Linked DNA regions of Drosophila melanogaster. The protein of the gene in region 2 binds, or shares a complex with, the protein of the main gene of each other region. Each region holds a gene or a part of one and is shown on either strand. Other genes may lie near its edges. The genes, in order: msl-3, mle, msl-1 and msl-2.

Evidence for each region.
Region 1: mle (region 2) and msl-3 share a complex: the UniProt entries of both Drosophila melanogaster proteins name them as parts of the male-specific lethal (MSL) histone acetyltransferase complex.
Region 3: mle (region 2) and msl-1 share a complex: the UniProt entries of both Drosophila melanogaster proteins name them as parts of the male-specific lethal (MSL) histone acetyltransferase complex.
Region 4: mle (region 2) and msl-2 share a complex: the UniProt entries of both Drosophila melanogaster proteins name them as parts of the male-specific lethal (MSL) histone acetyltransferase complex.

What each region holds. Positions count from the first base shown.
Region 1 is NT_037436.4:7,122,680-7,127,448, forward strand, and holds msl-3 (male-specific lethal 3), read right to left. Parts: upstream 2,855-4,769; 5' UTR 2,744-2,854; coding exon 2,642-2,743; intron 2,525-2,641; coding exon 2,346-2,524; intron 2,280-2,345; coding exon 1,722-2,279; intron 1,664-1,721; coding exon 1,167-1,663; intron 1,112-1,166; coding exon 1,027-1,111; intron 972-1,026; coding exon 854-971; 3' UTR 534-853; downstream 1-533. Other genes in the region: form3 (formin 3), read left to right, coding at 1-278; BBS1 (Bardet-Biedl syndrome 1), read left to right, coding at 3,247-3,526, 3,590-4,657, 4,740-4,769. UniProt on the Drosophila melanogaster protein: Component of the male-specific lethal (MSL) histone acetyltransferase complex, a multiprotein complex essential for elevating transcription of the single X chromosome in the male (X chromosome dosage compensation).
Region 2 is NT_033778.4:5,974,766-5,982,340, forward strand, and holds mle (maleless), read right to left. Parts: upstream 6,014-7,575; 5' UTR 5,930-6,013; coding exon 5,854-5,929; intron 5,795-5,853; coding exon 5,278-5,794; exon of another isoform or gene 4,936-5,277; intron 4,873-4,935; coding exon 4,554-4,872; intron 3,913-4,553; coding exon 3,222-3,912; intron 2,704-3,221; coding exon 425-2,703; 3' UTR 329-424; downstream 1-328. UniProt on the Drosophila melanogaster protein: RNA helicase component of the male-specific lethal (MSL) histone acetyltransferase complex, a multiprotein complex essential for elevating transcription of the single X chromosome in the male (X chromosome dosage compensation).
Region 3 is NT_033779.5:18,683,207-18,690,819, reverse strand, and holds msl-1 (male-specific lethal 1), read left to right. Parts: upstream 1-2,019; 5' UTR 2,020-2,394; coding exon 2,395-3,633; intron 3,634-3,693; coding exon 3,694-5,574; 3' UTR 5,575-7,100; downstream 7,101-7,613. Other genes in the region: CG10336 (uncharacterized protein), read right to left, coding at 103-1,026; CG31751 (uncharacterized protein), read right to left, coding at 7,555-7,613. UniProt on the Drosophila melanogaster protein: Component of the male-specific lethal (MSL) histone acetyltransferase complex, a multiprotein complex essential for elevating transcription of the single X chromosome in the male (X chromosome dosage compensation).
Region 4 is NT_033779.5:3,461,686-3,467,845, reverse strand, and holds msl-2 (male-specific lethal 2), read left to right. Parts: upstream 1-1,733; 5' UTR 1,734-1,794; exon of another isoform or gene 1,795-1,927; 5' UTR 1,928-2,206; coding exon 2,207-4,139; intron 4,140-4,191; coding exon 4,192-4,580; 3' UTR 4,581-5,628; downstream 5,629-6,160. Other genes in the region: ND-PDSW (NADH dehydrogenase (ubiquinone) PDSW subunit), read right to left, coding at 592-713, 784-1,059, 1,430-1,511; CG3246 (uncharacterized protein), read left to right, coding at 5,995-6,076, 6,140-6,160. UniProt on the Drosophila melanogaster protein: Limiting component of the male-specific lethal (MSL) histone acetyltransferase complex, a multiprotein complex essential for elevating transcription of the single X chromosome in the male (X chromosome dosage compensation).

The DNA.
Region 1 (4,769 bases), on a different chromosome or scaffold from region 2:
TGATCTTGGTGCGCAGCAAGATGTCCAACACGGCTCCGAAATCGAGTATCCATGGTAGCACCAGTTTTAAGGAAAACCAGTCCCAGTCCCAACCCCAGTCACAGTCCCGAATGAGCGCCGCTCGCAGCGTGGTGCTGGTGAAAAATGCCCTGAACCAGCAGCAGCAGGCCAGGATGAGTGCGAACCCCAGTCCGCAGCAGAGGAGCACTAGCAGCAGTCGATCCGTGAGCAGCTTCATGCGACCCACGGCCAGCAGTGCCACCAAGCGACAGAAGTGAGGGCCGGCAGTCCAGTCCAGTTCAGTCATCGTCCAAGTTAACGTCCCAAGTTTACACATGTTACAAACGCGAATGCATCCAACTCCAAGCCGTCCAAGCGACAATTTCGAATTTCTAAGCAGGATCTGAAACACAAATCAGCACACACATAGTTGTTACAGTTGCAATATTTTGAGAAATTATACAAATCTTAAGAATTCCCTGCACATTCCAACTCAAGGTCCGCAAATCCTTAATACAAAAGACAACAACTTTCCAACTCTTAAATATATTTGAGCACAAAAAACAAGGCATGACAAAAATACTAGCATGTACTACTCAACTAAAACTTAGGTTAAGCAAAAAAAAAAAAAAAAACAAAAAAAAATGTTAAAATCGTATTTTCAATATTTAACATATATAGTTATAGGCATTATTCGATTATACGATCACATTAGGAAACTTTTTTATAGAAGTGCGTTGTTTACAAAGTGTGTAGTTGAAGAAACCAAAACGACAATTACAAATCTTTAAATAAAAGAGCATAAGCTTTAATCGTAATAATAAATAAACTAGATAACTACGATCAACTAAAGCTAAGCAGCAATCCCATCCAGGGAGTCCAACAGCTCCCGCTGCAGATCTTCCTGGGGCAGGGCAGTGGAGTTAACAAAGTTTTCCCTGTCGAACCACTCCCTGTGGTTCTCCAAGTAGCTGAAAAACCAACAGATTAGCTTCGTGATGGACTAGGGAGGGGTCTTAGACTTACTTGATGAAGGCGTCGAGGTGGGGAAGTAGATCTTCTAGCTTCTTGTTGCTGATCGGCGATGCGTTTAAGAACATGGGCATTTTAACTGCAAGTACCATGAATTAATGTGTGTTATAGAATGCAAGAAAGATTGTACATACTCATTAGCCTAACCAGGTGGGGAGCGCCAAAGACCATGGACTTTTCTGGCGGCGATTCCGCTGACAAAAGCCGCCACTTGAATGTTTCGTTCAGAAATCCACGCATCTCCACGGGCAGTTTGTAGGCAGCCGTATATGGGGAAGTCCTCTCATAGGCCTGCGCAGTGTTTTTCCCGCTGGCGGTAACAATGTAGAGCAGGCATTTTTGCAACTGCTTCTCGTACTCCGGACCGCCGATATTAATAACTCCGATCTGTCCATTGGTGTCGCCCGACCCTTCTACCACTGGCGTGCCGTCCAGACCGATCAGTTCCGTGTCACCGCTGGGATTGATATACTCGTACGACTTGTTCAATATTAGGCTGCAGTTGCGCATGTTGTCGTCTGTGAGGTAGTTGTGGACATACTCCTTCTCCTCCGTATACAGCAAGTGGTCATCCACGTGGAACTCAAAGTAGATACGCAATCCGTCTACCACCTCCTTCAGCATGCAGACACTGTTAATAAGTAAGAGTATAAGTGGGTTGTTAAGTCTGATATTGAGTGGTAACCAACGTGGACATAACGCGATCGTATTCCCGCTCCATTCTGGCATTGCGACTCTGCGTGTTCCTGGCCCTCGAGCTGTCCTGTTTAATGCTAATGGCTAGCTCCACGGCCTGCTGCTTGACGAAGTTTTCCATGATGGTCACGATGGGCACGCGGGCGGGCAGTGCGTGCTGTTTGCCTAGTACCTTGATCATATTCCGATCGTACTCTATAAGCTCTCGCAATCGCTCGCTGACTCGCATCATAATGCGATCCTCCTGTGGCACATGGTTATAGACCGATACATCATTTATGGCATTGTTATAAAAGGTCTCTGTTTGTCTGCCCCGGTTTCCCTTTAATCGGCCATCTCCGGACGGGGGTTTTTCCTTTCGCTTGCCACCGCTGTTGTCCCGCGTCCGGTTGCCCGCTGCTCGTGGAGTGGGCGCCATTTCGTGCTCCGCCTCAAGATGTCCCGTGTCCATTGGAACCACTATTGGCTCCTCAACGTGGGCCGCTTTTCCGCCGCGTTTCTTCTTGGCCGATGGCTTATCGGGTGTGCCCTTGTAGGAGTAGTCACCACGACTGTGCGAAAAAGAAGGGGGAACTCGTTAGAGAGGTATTCCACGCATGTCTAGGGGGTTATCTTACATTTGCAGCTTGGCAGCTTCGGCCAGCTCCCTTTGCAACTGGCGATTCTCCTCGGTGTCTTTCAATAGAACGGTGGCGCGCACACAGCGATCGTAGGATGGACGCCAGCCCTGGAAGTGAATCTTGTACTCGTAGAACCTCAGGCCATGCTCGTTCCGGCGCTCAAAGACGTTTAGCACCTGCGGCATGTACGGAAAATTGCGGGAAACGGAAAATCATTTGTGAAAACTTCGCCTACGACGTTTGCTTGACATTTCAATGCGCGCGCGTGTGTGTGTGTGTGCATGTGTATTTACCTTGCTGGTGTAAAGAACACGGGCCTTCGATTTATCCGGCTCGTAGCAAAGGACTATCTCGCCCTTGTGAAAGAGCGGTGTCTCGTCCCTTAGCTCCGTCATTACTTGCAGTTAAATAGGGCCGTAGTCAGTCACTTATGTATACAAAATGTTAAATATTGAATTCAACTGCTGGCGTCGCTGAGATGATATTTATAACGAATGTTTTTTGCGATAAGCAATTGACGTGGGTATCGAATATTCCCTCGCACTTATCGATAACACATACTGTCGATGCTTGCACGTCTTTAGCAGGCCGGCCTTAAGTGTGACCAGACAAAATGCATTTTTGGCGGCCAATTTAAATAAAATTTTCTATCATCAGTAATTTGATCACAGTTTTACCTTTTGCCAAATGATTTTTTAGTTATACGTAGCTTTACCCTGTTAGCATTTAAGAATAATGCTGACGATCATTTTGTGTTTTTAAGAAAAAACCCAAATAAGTAACAAAAAATGTGCTGTCATCCCGGTTGCTAAGGACAAGAAAAACCAAAACAAAAGCATGTCCTGAATCACCTGTTCGTTTTCACACTGTGCTGCAAATTTTTCACCAAGATCCTGCCATGGCCGGTGCTCCCAACTGGCTTCACGTGGACACGGCGGAGGAGGCTCCTCCACCGCATCTCACCACCCTCACCAGTTGCATGGCCCTGAGCGACGTGCAGTGCGACGGATATGTCCGGCTGCTGGCGGCGGACATTTCACTGGACAATGCCGCCGAGGAGCCCACTGCCACGCTGAAGGTTTTCCGTGGTCTTAAACTCAAGCACGAGCAGCCACTGCCGGGGATTCCAGCGGCCATTGAAAGTCTCTACATCGACGAAACGGAGCCCAAGACGCCGGGTAGAAATAACGTTGCATTTTAATATTTTTAAATTAGATTCCATAATGAATACAATTTTCCAGTAATTGCCGTGGCCATCGCTGAGTCAGTGCTCTTCTATCGTCACCTAAAGCCATACTTCAAGTACACGATTCCCGCACAGGACTCCGAGGATCTGGAGCTGGAGGTATGGCGAAAACTGCCGGTTGTGAAGCCAAGTGCCCATCCCGCCCTGCTTGACTCCCTAAAAACCATAGACCACTCCAAGCTGTCGCGGAAATCGCAGCGACTTCTGCAAATGGGCGAGCAGGAGCGGGAGCACTTCATTGCCACGCACAAGGACTCCCCAGTGGGTCGGGTTGGCAACATTGTGGCCATGTGCTGCATAAAGCGCATCTCCAGCGATGCCAATCCCCCGTCCCACTTGGTCCTGGCCACCGATACCGGGCACATCATGATCCTGGAGCCGCAGGGCTTCAATTTGGTTTACCAGGGCAAGGCCTGCGATGATGAGACGGCCGTGCCGAGCCTGATCTCCGTGCAGGGAACCTTTGAGACGGATTTCTGCATCGTGGTGGCCACGCGAAATGGCGGTGTCTACCTCCTGCGGAAAAGCCAATCGGAGGGACAGGAGATCTTCAAGCTCGGCATCCCCCTAACCGGCCTCCTACTGCTGCCCATCGATCAGACGATAATCGCCTCCACCATGGACAATCGCTATCTGTGCTACTCAAAGCGGGGCAAGCTGTTATACCAGGTGCCCATGTCCGATCTACCCGTTTGCCTCCTACCGCTGCCCTTGACCCATCTGGGACTCACCCTGGTGGCCATTGCCCTTAGAGGAGGAGTGGTCAAGTTTTATTTGCAGCGCTACCTCGTCGACGAGTTTGTTCTCGAGGAGACGGTGGATGCCATGCTGTACGGACGAATGGGCATGGAGGATCACGTCCTCACGCTCGTTACTCAATCTGGTGGTATCGTGGTTAAGATCCTGAGACGTGTGTCCCGCTTTGAGCCCAAGGCCGGTGATTTGGCGAACAAGCGAGCATTGGGCGATAACAAATCCATCGTGGATGCCTCGATTTTGGATAAGCCCAAGAAGAGCTCCATCTTTGTGGAGCAGGCGGCAAGGGAGAAGCAGCAGGCCAAATGTAAGTAACCCTCTTATTTTCATAACACAATTTTATATAGTTATTGTTCTAATCAAGATTATTCTTTCATTTCCTATTCCAGCAACCTACGGAAGTTTCCAAGTGGAGCTGT
Region 2 (7,575 bases):
ATATATTGTTGTCATGACATATGTTTTAAAAAGGTCTAATTGCGAAATCAGTAATCGTCTAAAATGCTAGCAGAGATAAAAAATAATGATTACACAGGTTCACCAAAAGCCTTTATAGAATGAATGTTTTTGATCTCATTTTGTGACAATAAACGATTTCCACGCCTTCACAAACGAAATTCCAGCAATATATGTATGTATGCAACAGGTTAGGGAATGTCAGCGGAACTATCATATTTGGTTACTATTTACATACGTTAACTCGTGAATCTATTCGGATCGCACATGCGTATTTAATGCCAAAAAACCAAAAGATTCAATGCGTCTTATTTGTATAATCCCTTCAGCATATCGAAATGCGAATAGTAATGTTTATTATTCTTTTTGTTTTTGAAAAAACCAATACATTTTTTTTATGTATCCGTTAAAAGTTACCCCAGCGGCCGCCTTGGTCGCCATTTCTAAAGCCGCCGCCTGATCCTCTATTGCTTTCAAATGAGTCTCCAAATCCACCTCTCTTGTTCCCATATCCTCCGCCATTGTTTCCATATCCTCCACCATTATTTCTATAACCTCCGCCATTATTTCCATATCCACCATTATTTCCATAACCTCCTGCATTATTTCCATATCCTCCTCCAATATTTCCATATCCTCCTCCATTATTTCCATATCCTCCTCCATTATTTCCATATCCTCCTCCAAAAGTTCTGCCGTTTCCACGGCGACCAAAGCTGCTGTTAGTAAAGCGTCCTGTCTCAAAGCGACCTCGTTTGGGCGGTCCTCCGCCGTCACTGAACTGACGTGATTGGTGCGGCAGAATTCCTGATTCACGCTGCAGTCCGAAGTCTCCGGCGCTCTTAACGCAAAGGTCTTTGACCACTTTGACCAGCTGTGCATAGGGCTCCTCAAGGCGAAGTATGTCGGAAGGGTTGTCGCACGCCACCGTGATAAGATCCTCCAGGGCCGGCTTAAGGGCACCAATCTTGGCCGCAAGTTCCGGCTCTATGTCGAAGTTAAGCCAGTTGTCAACGCGCACTATATTGTTGGCGGCCAAGTCAATCTTGCGCGATCCAAACAATATCACCTGCAAGGGCGAGACCATAGATAGTTGCTTGCAGGAAACAGCTCGCGTGCGAATCTTCTCGCCGAAAACGAAGAACGGATACGGAAATGTGACGGCCAAGTTGCTGCAATTCACCGAGGTTTTGTGCAGTAACGCTGCTTTAGACTCTGTAGTCAGCACTTTGCGCTTCTCCTTGTGCACGCAAATGTTGGGGTAGAGACCCAAGCACAGCAGCGCCAGGGACACATCCAGCACGGGGTCATCCCCATCAATCCTTTCGTCTACCTCGTGCGATATCATACACTCTTCTGGGAATCCTGCCTGCTGAAGGAGATCCAGTAACTGCTGCTTGGCATCCCAGATAACGTTCATAGTACTCATTTGCAGTCCTTTCCAGTCACAGAACCGAGCTTCCATATGCTCACCGCGTTGTTTCTCGCGCCGCCACATTTGTGAAGCTACAATCATTGCCACGTGGTCGGAACATTTGGTACCACTCAACGCTTTCTGATGATTTGCCAGGCGACGTTGACCTATATCAAGACTAAACACCTCTGAGAAGGTGCTAGAGTACGAAGCCATAATGGCCATTAGATCGGCGCAGCCAAATACTGCGCCGAGGACCATCATCTTTCCAAGTCTTGGTTCAATTGGGAGGCGTGCCAGCAGGCGCCCCAATGGAGTAAGTTCATCGTTAGCGTCAAGGCAGCGCATCTCGCGAAGCAACACCTCAGCTTCGATTACTGCGTCTACCGGAGGTGGCTCCAATGCCTTTGACAAAAAGTGGTGAATGGAGCCCAGTCTGAGTAATTTAATGGTCAACGCCATCTCGTGCAACGGTGTGCGGAACATCTCCGGCGTAAGATTGTCCTCTAGCGCTTGGAAGCGGGCACGCGAACAGAGTGTGAAGCAGAAGCCTGGTCGGACACGTCCAGCTCGGCCCTTGCGCTGCTCCAAATTGGTTTTGCTTGCCCAAACGGTGGCGTAGCTGGTTAGGTTGTTATGTGAAGTAAAGAGCTTCATGCGCGCCTTACATATATCAATTACGAAAACAATGTCGTCAATAGTTATAGAAGTCTCTGCAATGTTGGTAGAAAGTATAATCTTGGTTACGCCTTCTGGAACAGGCTCGAAAACCTTGCGTTGCTCGTCTCGTGGAATCTGCGAGTGGCACGGCAAAATTTGGTATTGGGATGTATCACCAAAAATGTTTGTATTTTGCAGAAACTTCATAAGCGCAAAGATCAGGTTCCAACCGGGCAGGAATACTAAGATAGCACCGGGAATATTTTTTGACTTAATATGCATCAATAATGCCTCCAGCAGCTCAAAGCTAACGTCCGATTCGGATAGCATGGCCATAGCATTTCGAGTCTTTTGTGAATACTTGTCCTCGCACACCTTGTTATAGTTGATTTCCGCCTCGTCCTTGTCCTCGGAAAGCAATTGCTCCTCGTCCTCCACTTCCTTGCGCTTTCGGCGCGACTCCGCCGAAGGCACAAAGTCTGTCATCTGAATAATGTCCTCCAAGAAAAATTGCTGCACGGGAAATGCTCTTCCGGGTACTTCCAATACGGGACAGATGCCAAAATATTTGGAAAATTTCGTTGTATCAATAGTGGCCGACATAAGAATAACTGCAATAGAAGAGTTTCTATTAATTATAGTGTTTTCTAAAAGTCATATCATATTAAATTAGGACTAGAAATGTATGACCCGTAATGCATATAAGTTTTAAGTTCTGAATAGTAATTTTGTTGGGCATAAGTAATTTTGGCAAGTCAACTCTACATTAAATATGAAACACAAACAATTGGCAATGCAAATTTTCAATGGAACAAACTGACAAATCGACTATTAAGAACATAACATATACACTCTGGGCGGATCCGGTACAAACAATATAATCATAATCTTCATTAATTAAGCCAGTGAATTAGTGCAAAATAAGTTATTTTCGCGGCTCAAAATCTGCTCAACATTGCTTTTTATACATGTAAATGTATGTATATATACAATACATATATACAAATGTATGTATATATAAATATATAAGTATAATCAACAATTGTCGAAGAGTTTCACCCCAAGAAATTTGAATGCAGGTTATACATACGGATTTATGTTAGAAATATTGCACCTTATTCGAGCTTACCATGCAGGTCCGGATATGTGTCGACCATGTCGCGAAGGATGACCAGCAAAAAGTCGCTGTTCACGTCTCTCTCGTGGATTTCGTCCACAATAATATGCGACACTCCTCGTAAGCCAGCCTCCAGCTTGCGCAGCAACACACCCACGGTGCAAAAGAGGATTGCGCCGTAGGGTCGTGGAAACACAGACTCAAATCGCACCGAGTAGCCTACAGTGTCGCCCAATTGCTCGCACCGCTCGCGAGCTACGCGCTCGGCCACAGAAATGGCTGAAATGCGACGAGGCTGGGTCACATAAATATTAGCGTACCCGCCCTGGCCGGAGCAGATGTAGTCATCAAGAATGTATTGGGCAATCTGGGTAGTCTTTCCGCACCCTGTGTTTCCACGAATGATTACCACTGGATTGTCATTAATTGCGGTTAAAATTTCCGACCGCATCGCTGCAATGGGCAGCTTTTCGCGGAACTCGAGGAATTGTCGGTACTCGTTGTCGTTTTGGCGGCGATCACGCAGCGAGCGTTCGTAGTCCATCGAAAGGTCATCAATAGAGGTGGTTGCCAGTTCGCCTTCGTCGATGTTGCAGGCATGCCACGTATTCCAGTTTGCCTGAGGAGGAGCCCACGGAATCACGGAGCTTTCCTGACGTTTTTCGCCATCCTGTTGCGAGGAATCTATACGGCTTAAGTTCACCTAGGAGAAAATATTTTACATCGTACACTACATTTTTTGTTCGCAAAAAAAAGGTGGTTTGGGTAGGGCAGCGTATTCCTATGCTCATATAGTAAGGGTATGAATGTAAGAGATAACAGAAATAATCTTGTTCAAGATCACTAGCCAAGTCTATCACAACAAAAGCTTGAAAGTTAAGATTAAAGACGCAGATTTTAGTTATGCTAACGTAGCGTAAAACCTTCTTTGAAATATCTTTTGAACACAGAATTGGATTAGGTCGATTATGGTGTCTGTCGACGCGTATTGAGAGCTATATATAGAAAAAATACAAATGTTACAGCCAAGTATGCAGTACAAATTAATCGAGTTAAAGTATTTGCATTGTTGTTTCGGCATATCAAATATTTTTGAGGGACTGAACGATGTGGGAGTTACTAGCGTATTCCTAAGTATATGACTTACGTAAATCAATATAATAATATATACTTTATAAAGTACTGTTGGATGTCATCAAGAATATTGAAACCGGTATACAACATTTAGCTAATAGTCTTTGTCTGATAAAATCTCTAAACTGTTTTTTAATACTCTGAGATAAGAAATTTAATTCAAATTGCTGATACATTTTTATTTTAGTTTTCTAGTTTCGTATTACTTACAATGAGAGGAATCGGAGGACCGTCCAGTTCGATTTTGATATTGCGCGGGTTTACGACAGGAAGGTCCAAACCCTTAATCACCTCATCAATTTTGTTTATCAGATTTGGCGAAAGCTTCACCGGATATGGCTTCAGCTGCTCATCCTTTTTTTTCTTCAGAGTTCCACTAAAGGGCTCTATCACATTTAAATGGAAAAGTTGGCGCACCAGGGACAGGGCGCATGACTTGCTGGCAGACTTCTTGTTTGAACCCGACTCACGGGCCGTCACCGTGCGATTGAGCGCCGGCACATAAATGGACAATTCGGCCAAAAAGCTCCTACATTAAAAGAACTTTTTGAAAAAATCTGGACTGGTAATGTAGATCAAATCCGGAACTTACCCTCGGGCTATCGTGGGAGTCTACGGACTGCTGAAGGAGCCAGCCGACAGAACGGCGTGGTACTAATGTGTTAGACGCAGCTGGAAAGTCAGCGCTTGAATTATTGTCAGCTAAGCCGCGTTGCATGGGCGTCCGTTTTGCTTACAGACCCCACGCAAGGAAGCTGGACGTGGTTCTTGTAGTTCGGAGTATCGTACCACATCGTTCTGCCGGCGCTGCTCTGCACAAATCAAATTGGTCACAGCCCGACATGATTATGGGCTGCATTTCAGATTTGGCCGTAGGCCATATTCGGTCAAATCCGAAATGCAGGCCGAAGAAAGTTGAAAAGGAAGCACATACCTAGCGTGTTCCGGGCCCACTGGTGTATATTTGTAATCGTCGCGAATGTTGTTCGTCTGCTTGTAAATGTTCAGTCGCTCTTTGGCATTCTCTATGGTCCAGTTACCGTGGATGGCAGCGTTGACATCGAAAGCCTCCGCTTCGTTCATGTCCCTCTGCTCCTGGATGCGATCAATTACTGAGTAGCGGTTACCGCCGTCACCGCCATCGTGGTTTAGAGGGCGATAGGCCTCACCCAGATCCTGTGGACCCGACTGACCATCAAACACTCGCTTCTGCTGTCCACTGCCCCCTGCCATGCCCGCACCCTCCAGACCAGTCCTAGGTCCGCCCCCCGAAGCACCAGCATCCGCTGGAACATCATTGGTGTTCAGTTTGCCCACGCGCACTAGGTAGTTGACAAAATCACGGCACGCATTTTTCTCGGCATCCTTTTTGTTAGTGGAATTACCCACACCAATATAGGTATTTGGCTCTACACGAACCTCGCAAAGGAACCGCTGGCGATTTTTGGGACCTATAAATTAAACTGCTACTTGGGAAACACGCCTGGGGGAGTGCAACATAACCACTTACCCGTTTGGCGAATATCAAACTTTGGTTCTATTTGCGACTTAGCACAAAATTGGTACAAAAAAGATTTTATATCCATTCTTAGATTTTCAATAAACTTTCTATCAACTACGGAGCTCAAATTAAATTTATTTCTTTTGTGATGTCTATTCTGATATCGATTAATTTTTTTGTTGCTTTACAAAACACTAACGCGTCTTGAATCGCCTATCAAAATAGGAACGGATAAAATAGAACAGTGTGTGTAGATATAAAAACATTTAATGTAATTTAATCTAAAATAAAAGAAACCTATAGAGAGACTTAGACATATTTGTATATATTGCACTATAAATAAACAGACAAATTTCTTATATATATACTTTTATTTATTTATTTAAATATAACGTAGAGTATAAAATTTTAAGGTAACTGAAACCTAGATGCATTAGCAGCTAGCACCTTCCATTTTATATTTTTTAAATTAGGTTGGAGCTTTTTAAAAAGTTTCTAATTGTGTTGATGTCAACTGTTCTATGTGGCGAAAGGGAAGAACAGTATGCTAGGATGGGATTAACGTCTAACTGGTTGCAAAGAGCGCATATAAATACATATACATATATATGGGGGACCTGTTCTTGTAATGGTCATTTGTAAGGTTGATGTGATCAAGCCTGAGACTGTTAATAAGAAATATCGTTTTCCTGTTGTGTGATGTGGTGTTGTTGAAAGGAGTTTGATGTGGTATGTTGAAGGATGAGCTTGTATCAGGGAGTTATGTTGTAATGCAGTTCTGTTTGTTTTGAATTGACGTATATGCCTATGTGCCGAGAAGTCTTTTATGTATAAGTAATAAATGAAATATTGCAAAACAAAAGAAACGGAATTCCAATTCAAATTGGTAGACGAATTTTGAGCCGTTTTTTGCGTAAGATGTGTAGGACAGAATATTATCGAATAATTGATATCATATGACTATGTTATGCCCTTCAATCCGTCAAGAAAGATTCCTCATATCATAGCAGGTCTTAGAATCCTTAAATAATTTACGCTAATTTACGATGAAAAAAATAATAATCAGCATAAATAATCATATATTAAATAGTCATTTCTGGCACCAAGAAGACCACTAAACTTGACCAGCGACACGACCATTGATTTCTGTTCAAATAAAAATATCCAAGCTGTTGAAATAAATTAGTATTTTAAAGATGATGACTGAAATTCAGTATTATAGTATATTTGCCCCAGTCTTTTGGTATTTCTCGAGTCCGCGTACTGGTCACACAGCTTTTTGCAACGCGATGGGAAAAAGAGGACGATATTTGAGTTAAAATGTGAATACGGATGCCAGCCCAACTAAATAATAGTGCAATCGCGAGTCACCCATTTAATCGCCTAGTTTGAATTCTTTTTTGCGGCCCCAACGCCGGTACACAGCTGGATTTTTGTTGGTTGCCAGCAGTCCAGCATCACGCACACCCACACGAGCAAATGTAGATAAAAGTGAGAAAACACTCACGCACGCACACACACAGGCACACGTTTGGTCGTGGGCAAGCATTTAATTTCGTTAGTGCCCAGTAAAACAGAGTTGAGCGAAAAGGCGATAGCAACTTGCACAAATTGTAAGCAGTGCAGAGAGTCAGTGAAGAGGGGATCGAGTGAGAGCGGCGTTTAGTGCCAACACCCAAGCGCTGATCTCGCAGCTACAAACAATAAACAAACAGTGAAAGTAACAGTAAA
Region 3 (7,613 bases), on a different chromosome or scaffold from region 2:
TTAAGTACCGCGCATTAACTTTCAACGTAGCTTATTCATTTATTTTTATAAATTATCCTTTGAAAATTATAAAAATATGCGTTTTTATATCATAAATATACACTAACTTTTACTTCCGCTCTCCTGCTGCTGCTTGGCCTTAAGTCGCTCCTGCGCCAGCCTGCGGTTTTCCGCAATCCTGGCCATCTGTTCGTTGGATAATTTCTTAGCCGCCGGCGTGGGAGGCTGTGAGGGAGGCAGCGGCTGACCATAGTCGCTGATGTCCATCGATGCCAACGGAGCTCCATTCCGATCGAAGGCCGGAGCCACAGAAGCTCCACTTCTGTCGAAGGTCGCATTTACACCGGAGTACGGCGTGGACATTACAGCATTGCCGCGGGAGAATGACGGAGTAGCCAGCGTGCTGTTACTGGAAGCAGTAGACATTTTCCACTGCTGCGGGCTGGGAGGCGCCAGCCTGGACATGGCAATCTGTTCACCTAGCAGGGCGTCGAACTCATCAAAGGGTTCATCGCCGGCACCTTCCTGTTGCTCATCCTGCGCCTCCTCCAGGGCCTCCGCTTCGTGGGCGCGCATCTGCTCCAGCTGACCGAGTCGATATCGCGCCATGTGCACTTGGAGGGGTTTCTTCTTGCCCAGCCGTTCGATATTGTTAAGCACATCGTCAAAGGTGTAGGTGGGATACATACGATGGCCCCAGTGCTGCAGGCGGCGAAGCACCTCGTCGAGATCGGTTTTCTCGTAACCCTTGCCCTTGAATTTGATGTCCTTAAAATAATCTTCGATGGTCTGGATGCCACGAGGACCTCGAAGTGTTTCCACAGTGAGTCGCGGTCGGGGATTTCTCACAGCTCGCTTCTTAGGCTCCACTATCTGGGCATCCTGGCTACCAGGTTCTACGCCGTTGTCCTCGTCGTCCGCAAACAGCTTTTCGCCTTCGCCATCGCTGGGCAGCTGATCCGGGTCAGTCGGAATGTTGTCATTGAATAGGTCATCCACACCATCATCTCCGAACAGGGATGCCATAGAACTAGTGGCCGAAACTTAAATACCAAATAAACAATCTAACAAAATTTTGGCGCCAATTTTTGTTCTTCTTCTCTATCTACCATTCACAGGCGACGCTTGCATAAGTCACAGGGGGCTGCCAACTGAACAGCTCTTTGTTCTTTTAATTTTCCGATTACATAACTATTTGGTCTTTCCCAAAGGCTATTTTGATTTGCTTAGACATATTTTCATTAGTGGGTGGCACTAAAGGTAATTTGTACAGCCAACCCGGCTTTTGCATTGGTGGCAGCAGACATAAGAGATGGCAGCGTGACACGTTTTTTTTATCACTAAGCGACACATTGGCGTCACGAGTTTTTGTTATTCTATTATATTTATACCATTATACAAGGAAGGATAATTCATCCAAAGATTGTAGTTATTTAAATTTAGTGAAATATTTAAAAGGAGTTGGTAATGTAATAAAATTACCAAAAAAAATAAAATAAAATCAATACATTATTAGCTAGCTAGTTTCTTTTTCATCTATTTTCTCATTCCAATTACTCATACCACATAAAAATTGAAAATAATTATCCGGGGAGCAACGGAAGATTATTATTTACGTTGAGAGAAACTGTCCTCTTTTAACTGCTATCCTTGTGGTCTGGCAGAGTAAGAAATAAAAATGTGTTTAACGACATTTAGTCGGAGTTGACGAGCTGCCGCTCTTTATTCTGGTAACTGCAAATTTAAGCTGAAACTTAAAATGATTCTTAAAGCTAACAAAGACTCCGGCCCAATGCTGTCTCAGCACTTTGATATTATGTTTCATACACTAAGCCAACTGTACTAGTTCGTCGGCTCGTGTTAACTTAGCTATTAGCTATTATGTGCAACAAAGTACAGTTTCGTGAAAATATTTTCACTTCGTGACTGTCGTGCTCAGCTCGTGCATCGCAGCAAATTGCCATCTCTATGCCCCCAATCAACTCTGCGCTTTGGCGAAAAGTGGCAACGCCAGCAAAACGCCATACTTTTAAGAGCATTTTCGGGGCGACTTTACATTGTGAGGACAATTGTGGAAAAAGCGGTGAAAGAACGTTCAAAAACGAACCGAAAAACTGCTGCCTAAATGCGGTCACCACGTGCGATAAGAACGCCACGTTTAAAACGATAAATCCATTAGATTCTGGCCAAGAAAAGAGCGGTTCTTTTGCGAGGGCGAGCAAGGAAAATTTAGTGTGGTGCGAAATTGTAATCGGGATTCTACGCATTGTACGGCGTATCAGCTGAAGAGATTGTGTGCACCCCAAGCGACGCAAACAAAACCAAAACAAAACAAAAACATTTGGAGAATTATGAGATCGTAGGACCGACGGCACGGGATTCAATTCGACTGCCATGGACAAGCGATTCAAGTGGCCGCCCAAAAAGCGGGCCAACTACTTGGAATCGCCCTATCCCCACATACCGTCGCGTGGCCGCCAAAGGAATCTGCACGGCCATCCCAATCAGACGCAGCATCTTCATCAGCATCCCGGGAAGATCTATGAGCGCCAGCAATATGGCAATGGTCGTGGAGGACATGGCGGGGGTAATAACAACTACCGAAAGCTTTTGCATTCGCTGCCAGCTGAGCATGGTGGCGGAGCCATGGCTCCTCCTTCCTCCGGCGGAACCGTGTGTGCCGGCGCCGATATGGTCAAGCTCATCTCGGAGAACAACAACCTGAGGCGCATGGTTATGTTGAACTTAAACCTGATGCAGGAGCAGACGGACAGCATAGCGGCCAAGGACAAGGAGCTGGACGACCAAAGCGCTAAGATGAGCGTGGTGAAGGCGCAGAATGAGGAATTAAAGCAGGCCGTTGCTCAGTTGGAGGCCGCCAACCAGGAACTATGCAAACAGCTGCGGCGAAAGAACCAGCGAAGGAACGACAATGACGACGACGACGATGATCCCCCACTGCCACCTGCTGCCCCGCAGCAGAAGTTGATACGTTGTCATGCTGAGACGCAAACTGTGTTTCGGGAGCGGGAACAGGGCACACAAACGATAGATGCGCAGCCTCAATTCGCGAATGCACTTCCCAGGGGTATCAACATGAAGGAGTCTCCCGCTCTGGACCATCACGCTGGAGCGGTAACGAATCAGCCAGCCAGCAAACGCTCGGAGAGCAAAGGCCGCGGTGAATTCAACGGTAAAAAGGTGAGCACGTTTATTCTCCAGCGCATGAATCAGGACTTCGAGCACCACATCCACGAGCAAACGGAAGTAGCAGAGGAGCACGAGATGGAGGCACATAAGGAGCAAATATCTCAGGAAGAGGACCAACTGGTCGCTGAGGAAGATCATCTGCATATGCAAGAAGTGCACACCGAGGAAGTCGTTGGAGGCGATATCTTTCATGATGCTTTGGAATCAATTGAAATGGAAGTGGTCACCGAAGAGCTGGTTGATATGGAGGAGCATGGACAGTCCGTGGATGCCAACGGCCATATCGAGGAGGATGATGACGAGGACGACGAAGATGACGAGAATAGTGATAAAGACGATGACAGTGAAGAGGATGATTATCCGTGGATGCATAGCGATGCGGATGTAAACGCCAGAACTGAGGAAGAGCTCTGGCAGAATCAGGTATGTTTAATGTTATTATTTAATTAAAAGAATATATCGAGCAATCCTTTACTCTTTCAGAATTACCTTTTGGAATTGGACCCGACGGAGGAGAAGACCTGTGCGCCTTCGGCCCATTCAACTCCCAATCACCAGCAGAAGTCTTCGACACAGGCAGAGATAAGGAAAGAAGGAAATCAGAATCGGATAACTGAAAAGTTGTTGCAACTAAAGCCTGAGCCAATGGTAGATGCATTAGAAGCGCCGATTCTCCCGAAGTGGGTGGCTTTTAAGAAAAAGGATAAGGAACATGAATCAGTCCCCGAGTCCCCAGAAGTACCCAAGCAGCAGCCGCATCAGGAAGATGCCATCGTTGATCATAATGCAATAAAGAATCAGTTGGAAGTTCCCAAGCCGGACTTAAAACCGAAGGACCAGCCCAAAGACGAACAGAGGCAGGATGGGCAGCTGGATGTTCGCGTGGAACCACAAGAGGATGTTCGTAAGGTACAGAAGGAAACTCTGAAAAGGCAACCAGAGGATGCACCTAAGCACCTTCCGAAAGCGGTAGCCCCAAAGGTTACGAAAACATCCTCTCGAGAAAGCACGTTGCCCAAGGCAAACACCGCTGACATAAAAGACGCTCCCGCTCAAAAAGTAATAGCCAACCATCAGTCCACCAAGACGCAAACGGATCCTGTAAAAACGCAGCGTTTGCAGGTTAAGATCAGGCAGTATGAAATGCATCCTGACATGAGAACCGGCTCCTCCGCCCCGTCTGATATTCGGAAACAAAAGAACGTTGATCCAGTTTCGACGCCCGAGACGAAAACCATTAAAAGTAAAAGTATGTTGGTCAATGATAAAAAGACCACGTCGGAAACGTCTCAGAGCCCAGATCAAGAAATAGATGTGGAAACAGTTAGAAGAAAACTGGCGGAACATTTAAAAAAGGAGCTCCTAAGCCAGAGTCATTCGTCACAGGTTACGCTCAAGAAAATAAGAGAGAGAGTCGCCACAAATCTAATATATCCACCACCCAGTGCACCAGTATCCTCAACAACAATAACCCCAGCGCCTACGCCGTCAACGACACCAACGCCTGGCTCAACGCCACAGCATGCGGTTACATCCTCAATGGACCAGGAAATATCTGCAGCAAAATCGAAATCCAAGGCAGCTGAACAAATAGCAACTCCTCTGACACCTCAATCTAATAGCAGTGTTAGCAGCACCACTTCGACTATCCGAAAAACGCTAAACAACTGTTCACCCCACACGTACAGCAAGGCAACGGCGAGATCGGGAAAACTGCAGTCCAGATTCCGCACTGCCACGTTTCCGTACAGCACGAGAACGTGGGAGGATCAGGAGTTCCACTGTGACAACGAGTTCTTCCTGGAGGAGGCCGACGAGCTGCTGGCGGATAACCCTAGTCTGGAGATACCCAAGTGGCGGGATGTCCCAGTGCCACCCAGTTCGGATAAAATTGACACAGAATTACTGAGCGATGCGACCTTCGAGCGCCGGCACCAGAAATATGTGAAGGATGAGGTCGATCGAAAGTGTAGGGATGCACGTTATATGAAGGAGCAGATACGGCTTGAACAGCTTCGGATGCGACGGAACCAAGACGAGGTGTTGGTTGCGCTGGATCCTCTGCGCGCCTCCACTTTCTACCCGCTGCCCGAGGACATAGAGGCCATCCAATTCGTCAACGAGGTGACAGTTCAGGCATTCGGCGAAAACGTGGTCAACATGGAGGCGCGGGATGATTTCGGTGTGCCTTGGGTGGATGCAATCGAAGCGCCAACCTCCATAGCCAGGTCCAAGGCACTGGCTGAGCCGGTGGCAACGTTGGCTAGCAAAAAAATACCCACCACTGCTGCCGAGGCGAGGCATCAAGAAAATCACTCCTCCTACGTGTTTCCCAAGCGACGCAAGCGCCAGAAGAATCGTTAGCCAGGAAACGCCTGGGGGATCTGATACTGGAGCTAAGCAGAAGACTGTCGGTTGGGGGAAGTCGTTGCGTTTGACATACTAATGATTTTCAGTTTTAAATCATGAATTATTTCTTAAGCTTAACGTGAAAGCACCAGAGTTAACAGTAACGATTACCACAGATCGTCTAGAAGTCAAATAATCCAGAGCAGACGATGTTTATTGTATATATGGTTCCTCAACTGTCCGTTTTTATTTGTGTAATAAAATGAACGGAACGCTGAATTCTGGAACATTAGAAATTCTTTGTTATAGAATCTATAAATTTATGTCAAAGTTTTGTCGTTTCTTATGCGATGAGAGATCTTAAAAGGCAAGTAAATTGAGCTGTCCTATTCAAACATTTTTCTATTAAATTGTTATCATATTTATTTCCTTGAAATATAAATAATTCGATCTTATATTAGATGTAAATGAATCCAAATGTTCGTCGCCTGGTCTGGAAATGATTAGTTTTTAGTTAACGTCTTGCAATTGAAAAGAGTTTCACCCTTGCTTGTTTCCAATGTACGTAAATTACTTAGTCCCACACAGCATGTAATTCAAACCAGTCGCTTAGTTAGATTGGTTAACTCATCTCAGCTTTATCACCTTTAAAATCGCCCGCACTAAAGTGATAAGAACACGAAAGATATTCACATAAGTTATATTGGGCATTTTTTTGGAGAAAAACAATGAAATTCGTAGACTTATATTTTTAAATATTTTTTTTCTTTAGCCCTTATAACCATTTTTTTTGTCTTTGTTTATACTGTTATATCTGTCGATTCTCGAATGCAGACAACGTGTGTGTTGCAAAGAGTTACTCAGGTATATCTCTGATAATTTGTCTTTTTTTTTAGGATTTGATTGTGTAAAAATTGAGTGCGAGTGGTTGTCTGCTTCGAGTAATCAAATTATACATTGGATCTATTGTTTTATTTTATTAACTTCATTAAACTTGTTTTATGTTGTATCGAACAAGAAAGGCCGTTAAGATGAAAACTAGATTTGAAGAATAAATATAAAACTGATTCCCGAACTGCACACCCGTTTGGCCTTATGGGCACCATGTATTTTTGGCTAAATATTGTTTCGTTTAACACTTCTTCTGTTTGACTTTCTGTCGCAATGATATGGAGCCTGCCAACGTCCGGAGAAATCAAATCACCAGCTCGCTTTCGAGTGGCGTCTTATTTTTGTACATTTCGATAGGTGTAAAGTCGGTTACTTGTAATATAGCGTTAAGTAGGCACTGTACCCAAACGCATAGAGATAATTATAATGTAACAAAGTAAATACGATACGATGTACATTGTCCAGGAAAAGGAGGAGCGGAGGGTGGATGAACTTCGTTCAACACCATTTTACACCATTCAATGTAATTAGCGTTAAATAGTTCAATTTACTGAAGCTTCAACTAAAAATCAATTCGAAATTAATTGCCACCATTGTAGAGCCCTAAACAAACTCACCTACTGTAAGAATAAATGTACTACATACAATGTATTTGTATTTGTTTAACAAGTTTTATTGTAAAGATAACGATAATAATATACAGGATAAAGTAAATTGTAAAGCAACGAAATGCAATCAATACTTGGACTTGCAACTTATTTTGCACAGGTGATATGTAAATGAAATTCTAATAATTGACAATGGGTTTATTTAACAGGCCTCAATTGATTTTCCAATGACCTGGCATCGCTTGCTTCTGGTTTCCTTAGATGTCTTTTTGTTTGCGATCATCTCGATATAAACTTGTTTAGGGGCTAATTGCAAATGTATTTAATATCTTAGAAAATGCTTCATTATACTCTATATATTGGCTGTGACAATTTTATCTGACCCTCGTTACCTAATGGAAAACATAACATACAAAATCTTCAACAACCAGAATAGCTGGATTGAAAATCAGTTAAAATACCTTTAAAAAACGGAAAAGCCTAACGGAATTTTATATTATTTATTGCTCTGCGTCAAGTACTGGTGTCCAGTGCTTGCCCACAGCTCATCAATAT
Region 4 (6,160 bases), on a different chromosome or scaffold from region 2:
AAAGTAATCTAAGATAGCGTAATTCTAGAAAGCTTGAACAAATTTCACTATTGCCTATCTATTGGTATCTATTTCTAAAAGTGTAATTTTTTCTTTTTTTAAGAAAAGCAAATGATTTATGGACTGTGCATTCCTTTTTTTAAAAAATGAGAAATTATGGAACTCTTTTTGAAATTGTCTAAATTTTCGAAAAAGTCTGAAGAATTACAGTGTGAGTTTTATGATTTATCACTATATTCTGTAAACTTATTGCAGTACGCAGGCAAAAACTTTATTTTACTCACTGGAACAACTTAACCAAGGCTCTTAATCTTGAGAACTATTAGTTTTAAGCTAGTCTATAGCCAAAATTCTATATCAAACGCCAATATTAATATTTATTTTAAGAAAAACATGACTAAGAATAAATGCAACTAATAGACAAATGAATTGAAACTGCTGTAGTAATAAATAATTCCTAGTAGCTCTTACCTTATAATTTACACTGAAACAATTGAAAGAAAGCTCAATCCTTGGGAATATCGTTTTACGGCGTGTATATTTTGTTTTAACGGATAATGAAACTAGAAAACATCATCATAAAAGCGGAGTTTAATGGGCGGCCTCCTCCTTCATGCCACTGCCCACTGGTCCATGACGACGCTCCCAGATCAGACGATGCTTCTGCTTCATGTACGCGGTCTTGGCATTGGCGTAGCCTCCCAAGTCGCCATCTATAATGGGTTATATCTCGTTATATATCACATACAACTTTAAAGAAGATGGGTAAGGGATTCCACTCACACTTGATGAACCAGTTCTCGGTGGCCTTCTCGTACTGATCCATCAGCGGCCTGCACTTGACCATGTGATCGGGTGCCTCGTAGAGGGTGCAGTCCTCGAAGCGCTGGCGCAGAATGTTGACAATCTCGTTGTCGACCATGCGATCCCGGCGGAACTGCTGATCGGCCTCGAAACGGCAGACGGCATCGTCCGTGTAGCACTGGTCGATCGTCGGAACGCGGCGGAAGCGCTGGTGGTACCAATTCTGCTTCTGCTGGTTCGGCTCCACAATGCTCTCTGTGGGATTAACACAAGGCGCATTAATAAAATATACTAGCTGTAATGCATTTCTGTTGAAAAACATGATCCCGCTTTGACTAGATGAACTATATAGTAACGGACGGCATTTAAGGGCTGCCGACTAGTATTCTAAGAGATTTAGTTTGCGCTAGCTAGAAATTACTTAAAACGGTTGATTATAAACATTTTAGCATTTCAGCAATACAGTGTAAACAAAAACAAATGGACTGCGAGTTGAGGTTATGTCATTATGTAATTGTCTGGAATTTGTCCGGTTTTTCCGATCGTTGGCCAAAGGAAACGCAAACTTGCAGCATCTGGAGACTCCCATGACCATGGCCATTGGGAATCCCTGTGGACTACATACCACGGAACCAAGTTATGGGTCCATCGATGACATTCAGCACCGACTCGGCAAAACTGGCCATCGGACTGCGCGGTTCCGGCATTTTCTGGCTCTCCTACCACCTGGCGTAAGCGGAAGAGCTGTTAGTAAATAATTTCCAAGGTTTTCCGCTTTCCTTTGACGGAAAATACTTAAAAAACCATATTTACTTGAAAAACTAAGTGTTAAAATTTGTTGTAGGACCGCAGTTCGTAACTGCGAAAATTCCTCAGAGCACTGAAATCAGCTGTTCGAGGTAGTGGTCACACCTATGCCGCACTGCAGCTAGCATGTTCGCACTGGCACACTGCGGTCACACTGGCTTCGCTCAGCAAAATATTGCTTGGGTAATTTTTTTTTTTAGTTGCTAATTTATTGTTTTCAACGCTGTTGCACAGTGTGCAGCATAACCATTAACAATGACTTGAGACCTCTCAAACGTAAACCAATTTTTTTTTTTTTTTTGCACGTGAAACATAGTGATAACGAAGCCACAAAAGTGAAACCAACAAAAAGCGTTCCAGTAAAGTTACCATTAGATAATGAAATCGAGGATTAACGCGGTCTAAGCATGTGTAACTGAGCTCCTACGGGCGAGGAATTGCAGGTAACTAGCCCAGGAGGCACCAGGTAGCGGAGCAGGTGGCGTGGGTCGGACCGACAAGGCACTTACTTGGCCAGCGGAGTCTCACTTTTGGGCTGAAAAACGTAAACAAACAGCGGCGTGCGTACAGTCCCGGGCATAAAAATATAGCCATCATGGCCCAGACGGCATACTTGAAGGTGACACGCATCGCGATGCGCTCCGCTTCGAATCTTTCCAAACGGCGGGTGGAGGAGCTGAACTCCGGGCTCGGCGAGCTACGGCAGCTGCTGTCTTGCGTGGTCTGCTGCCAGCTGCTGGTGGATCCCTACTCGCCCAAGGGCAAGCGGTGCCAGCACAACGTGTGCCGGCTGTGTCTGCGCGGTAAGAAGCATCTGTTTCCCAGCTGCACCCAGTGCGAGGGTTGCTCCGACTTCAAGACCTACGAGGAGAACCGTATGATGGCCGCCCAGCTACTGTGCTACAAGACGCTGTGCGTCCACCTGCTCCACTCGGCATTATTTGGTGAGCTGGCCGGGATGCGGCCCCAGGTGGCCAGGGAGCTGGTGCCTCGCATCAAGCTGCCTCCCAAAACCACACAGGAGTTCATTCGCGAGGGCTCAAACATCTCCGACACTTTTGACATCTTTCTGCCCCAGCCGGATTTGCCGTTCCTCAAGGACATGCCCACATCGCTGCCCGCAGAGACGCCGCCTACGTCGGCGGTCACGACTCCGGAACTGCCCTATGATCACCACCTCAACATCAGCGACATTGAGGCGGAGGCGGCGGCCACAGCGGAGCAGGGTCACTTCTCGCCGCTTCCCCTGCTGCCCACAGGATCTCGCATGGGCATGCTCTCTCACGCCGGGCAAATAGTCATTGCCACCGAGAGCTCGGAGTCGGGCTTCATGGACCAAGCGTGGACGGATCAGGTAGACCTGTCTGGCACGGTTTCGGTGTCCAAATACACAAATAGCGGCAACAACTTTGCTGTCTCCTACGTGATGCCCACTTCTGCGACCACGAAGTTCGATCCACAGGAACTGCAAATCGGCCAGGTGGTGCAAATGGCGGACTCCACTCAGTTGGCTGTGCTGGCTGCCGTTGAGGAGACCGTCGAGACGTCCACACAGTTGACTGTGCTCTCCACCACCGTTGAAGAGACCGTTGAAACATCCACGCAGCTAGAAGTGCTTACCTCCGCTGAGGAACCCAACGAAATCTCTGATCAATTGGCTAATCTGCAAGTTGAGGAATCTGATGAGGCTCTGGTTGAAGAGACCGTTGAAGAGGCCGAAGGGACCTCAATCCCGTCAGAGGTTGTAGCTGAGCACATGGAGGAGGATCAACACTTGGATGTGCACACTTCACAGTCACCTACACAAACCGAAATGGAGGAAGCAGTGGAGGAGCATGTTGCCACAAAAACACAATTGGGTCATGTGCAAACAGAATTGCAGGATGCGGAGTCGTTGCAGAAAGATTTTGAGGACGCAAAGGCAGCGGCTGAAGAGGCGAAGGAGAAGGAGAAGGACCTGCACGCAATCAGTGCTGAGCTGCAGAAGGAGGACAGTGACGAGCCAACACTTAAGCGAAAGAGAACCCGTACTCTCAAAGCGTCACAAGCTGCCAAAATTGAGCCTGTACCGTCTGAGGTCAAGACTAAAGTGCAATCTGGAAAGGGCGCTCTTCGCAGGATTCGGGGCAAGGACAAGGAGGAAAAGGTGAAGCCTCCGAAGCCGAAGTGCCGCTGCGGTATCTCCGGCTCGAGCAATACCCTCACCACCTGCCGGAATTCCCGATGTCCTTGCTACAAGAGTTACAACAGCTGTGCCGGGTGTCATTGCGTGTGCTGCAAGAATCCGCACAAGGAGGACTACGTTGAAAGTGATGAGGACGATGATTTGGAGGATTTCGAAATGCCGAAGGACGTTCCAGAGCCGATGACTCAGTCGGAGGAGCCGGTGGTAGCTGAGCCTAGGCAGGAGGAGAACAGTATGGCGCCGCCAGACTCTTCTGCCCCCATAAGCCTAGTGCCGCTAAATAATTTGCAGCAATCCCAGCATCCTTTGGTGCTTGTTCAGAATGAGAAAGGCGAGTACCAGGGTAAGTTACCTCATCGCTGTGTTAGACCTATCTAACCCTGTTCCAATTGCAGGCTTCAATATCTTCCAGGGCAGCAAGCCCCTTGATCCGGTCACCGTTGGCTTCACTATTCGTGTCCAGCTGCAGCACACCGATGGCTTCGGTTCCCTTCCCCAGTATGCTTATATAATGCCAACAATTGACCCGCCGAATCCACCAGCTCCATCACTTTCGCCACCACCGCCTCCTGCTCCTGACAGGGAAGTCATCGAGCCACCGGCCAAGAAATTCAGGACCAGTCGAACACGCCGAGGAAGGGCCAACTTCTCGGCCCTCGACACGGTGGATGAGCTTGTCAGTGGCGGATCCAGGAGCAATTCTGCCGCTGGCGACAGATCATCGGCCACTGACAATGCCCATTCACTGTTCGAGGAGATCATGTCGGGCTCGGATGACTTGTAAGCAAGACGACTCATCCCTATATGTTTGTTTTTTTATGTGCTCAGTGATGTCCAGGTATCAATCCTTTAATAGATAATTTTTATGTACGTTATGGATGGTCGAATTCAGCACTGAATTGCATCCATAACGTGGTATCGTCTTTGATCCTCTTATCATACCCGTTATTCGTAGAGTAAAAGGGTATACTAGATGTGTTTCCGACCATGTAAAGTATATATATTCTTGATCAGGATCAATAGTCGAGTCGATCTGGCCCTGTCCGTATGAATGTCTCGATCTCAGGAACTATAAAAGCTAGAAGGTTGAGATTAAGCATATAAATTCTAGAGACATAGATGCAGCGCTTGGTTGTTTACCCATGTTGCCACGCCCACTTACCGCCCAAAACTTCCACGCCCACAATTTTAAATTTTTTCTCATTTTATTTCCCAATATCTCTTGGATATCCCAGAAAAATGATGAAATTTCGCGTTCGTATTTCCACTAGCTGAGTAACGGGTATCTGATAGTCGGGAAATTCGACTTTAGCATTCTCTCTTGTTTTTAACTTGTGGTTTCGTTATGCTATATATTCCCCCACTCAAACAACTTCCACTCAAATCAACTCCCAAATATCTTTTAGGAGCATTCTACAATCTGATTTTTGTAATCATCCAGCAAACGTTTCCAAAACTCAATTTTTTTTTAATACGTATTAAGCCAAAAGTCGTATACATAACTATTTAAAGCAATTCTGCAGCTGCAGCAAAGATAATCTATTTAAGAGTAAAGCATTAGTCAAAACTAAAGATTATTTTCGTTCAACGAACAGCGAATTATAGATTGCTTTGCCCAAAATGTGGATGCTGTGAGCTAAAAAAAACCTTTTTTTTTAATAGGCTAAGACATTTTTTTGAATAGGCTAAGACTTTTTTTGAGCATGAATTTTTTTGAGCACGTGAACCTAGGATTAAGAACAACAATTCAAGTAAGCCATATATACCCATATTATATATGCGAACATATAACTATTAAAATATTCAAATAAAAATGAGCATTGCTACTACAGAAAAATGCGCGATTTTCTTTGGGTTTCAAAACCGTTTTCGAACCGTAACACTCTTTGCCTCATGCAAGCTGCTAGTTCATGATTTCTAGAACATCGTTCCTGGGAGTGGAGTGAGTTCCATGAGTGCCTACAATGTGCTGGCCGCTTCCGCTCACTTAAGTCACTCAATCTCAATTCCGAGTTTAATCAGCAGCTCCGCGAGCAGAGTCGCCCTTAGATAAGCGGATCGCCGCCTGCGGCTCATCATTATCTTTTGATTAACGCGCCAGTCGACAGTGCGTGTTTGTTCCGAGTAGAGAACGGAGGCTGGCGCGTTTTCTTCCATTTTCCAACTGATAAGCAGAAGCTCCAGCTAATCCCCGAAAGATGAAGCCGTTGATAGTGGTCGTGCTCGTGGGCCTGATGGCAAGTGGCTGCCACATTGTTCACTCCCAGGAGCCTGGCGATGGTAAGACGAATTCCAGTCTGAGCTCTACCGGAACTAAGCCACTCATTAATGACCTTTGAGCAGCTGTGGAGCAGGAAGCCAGCG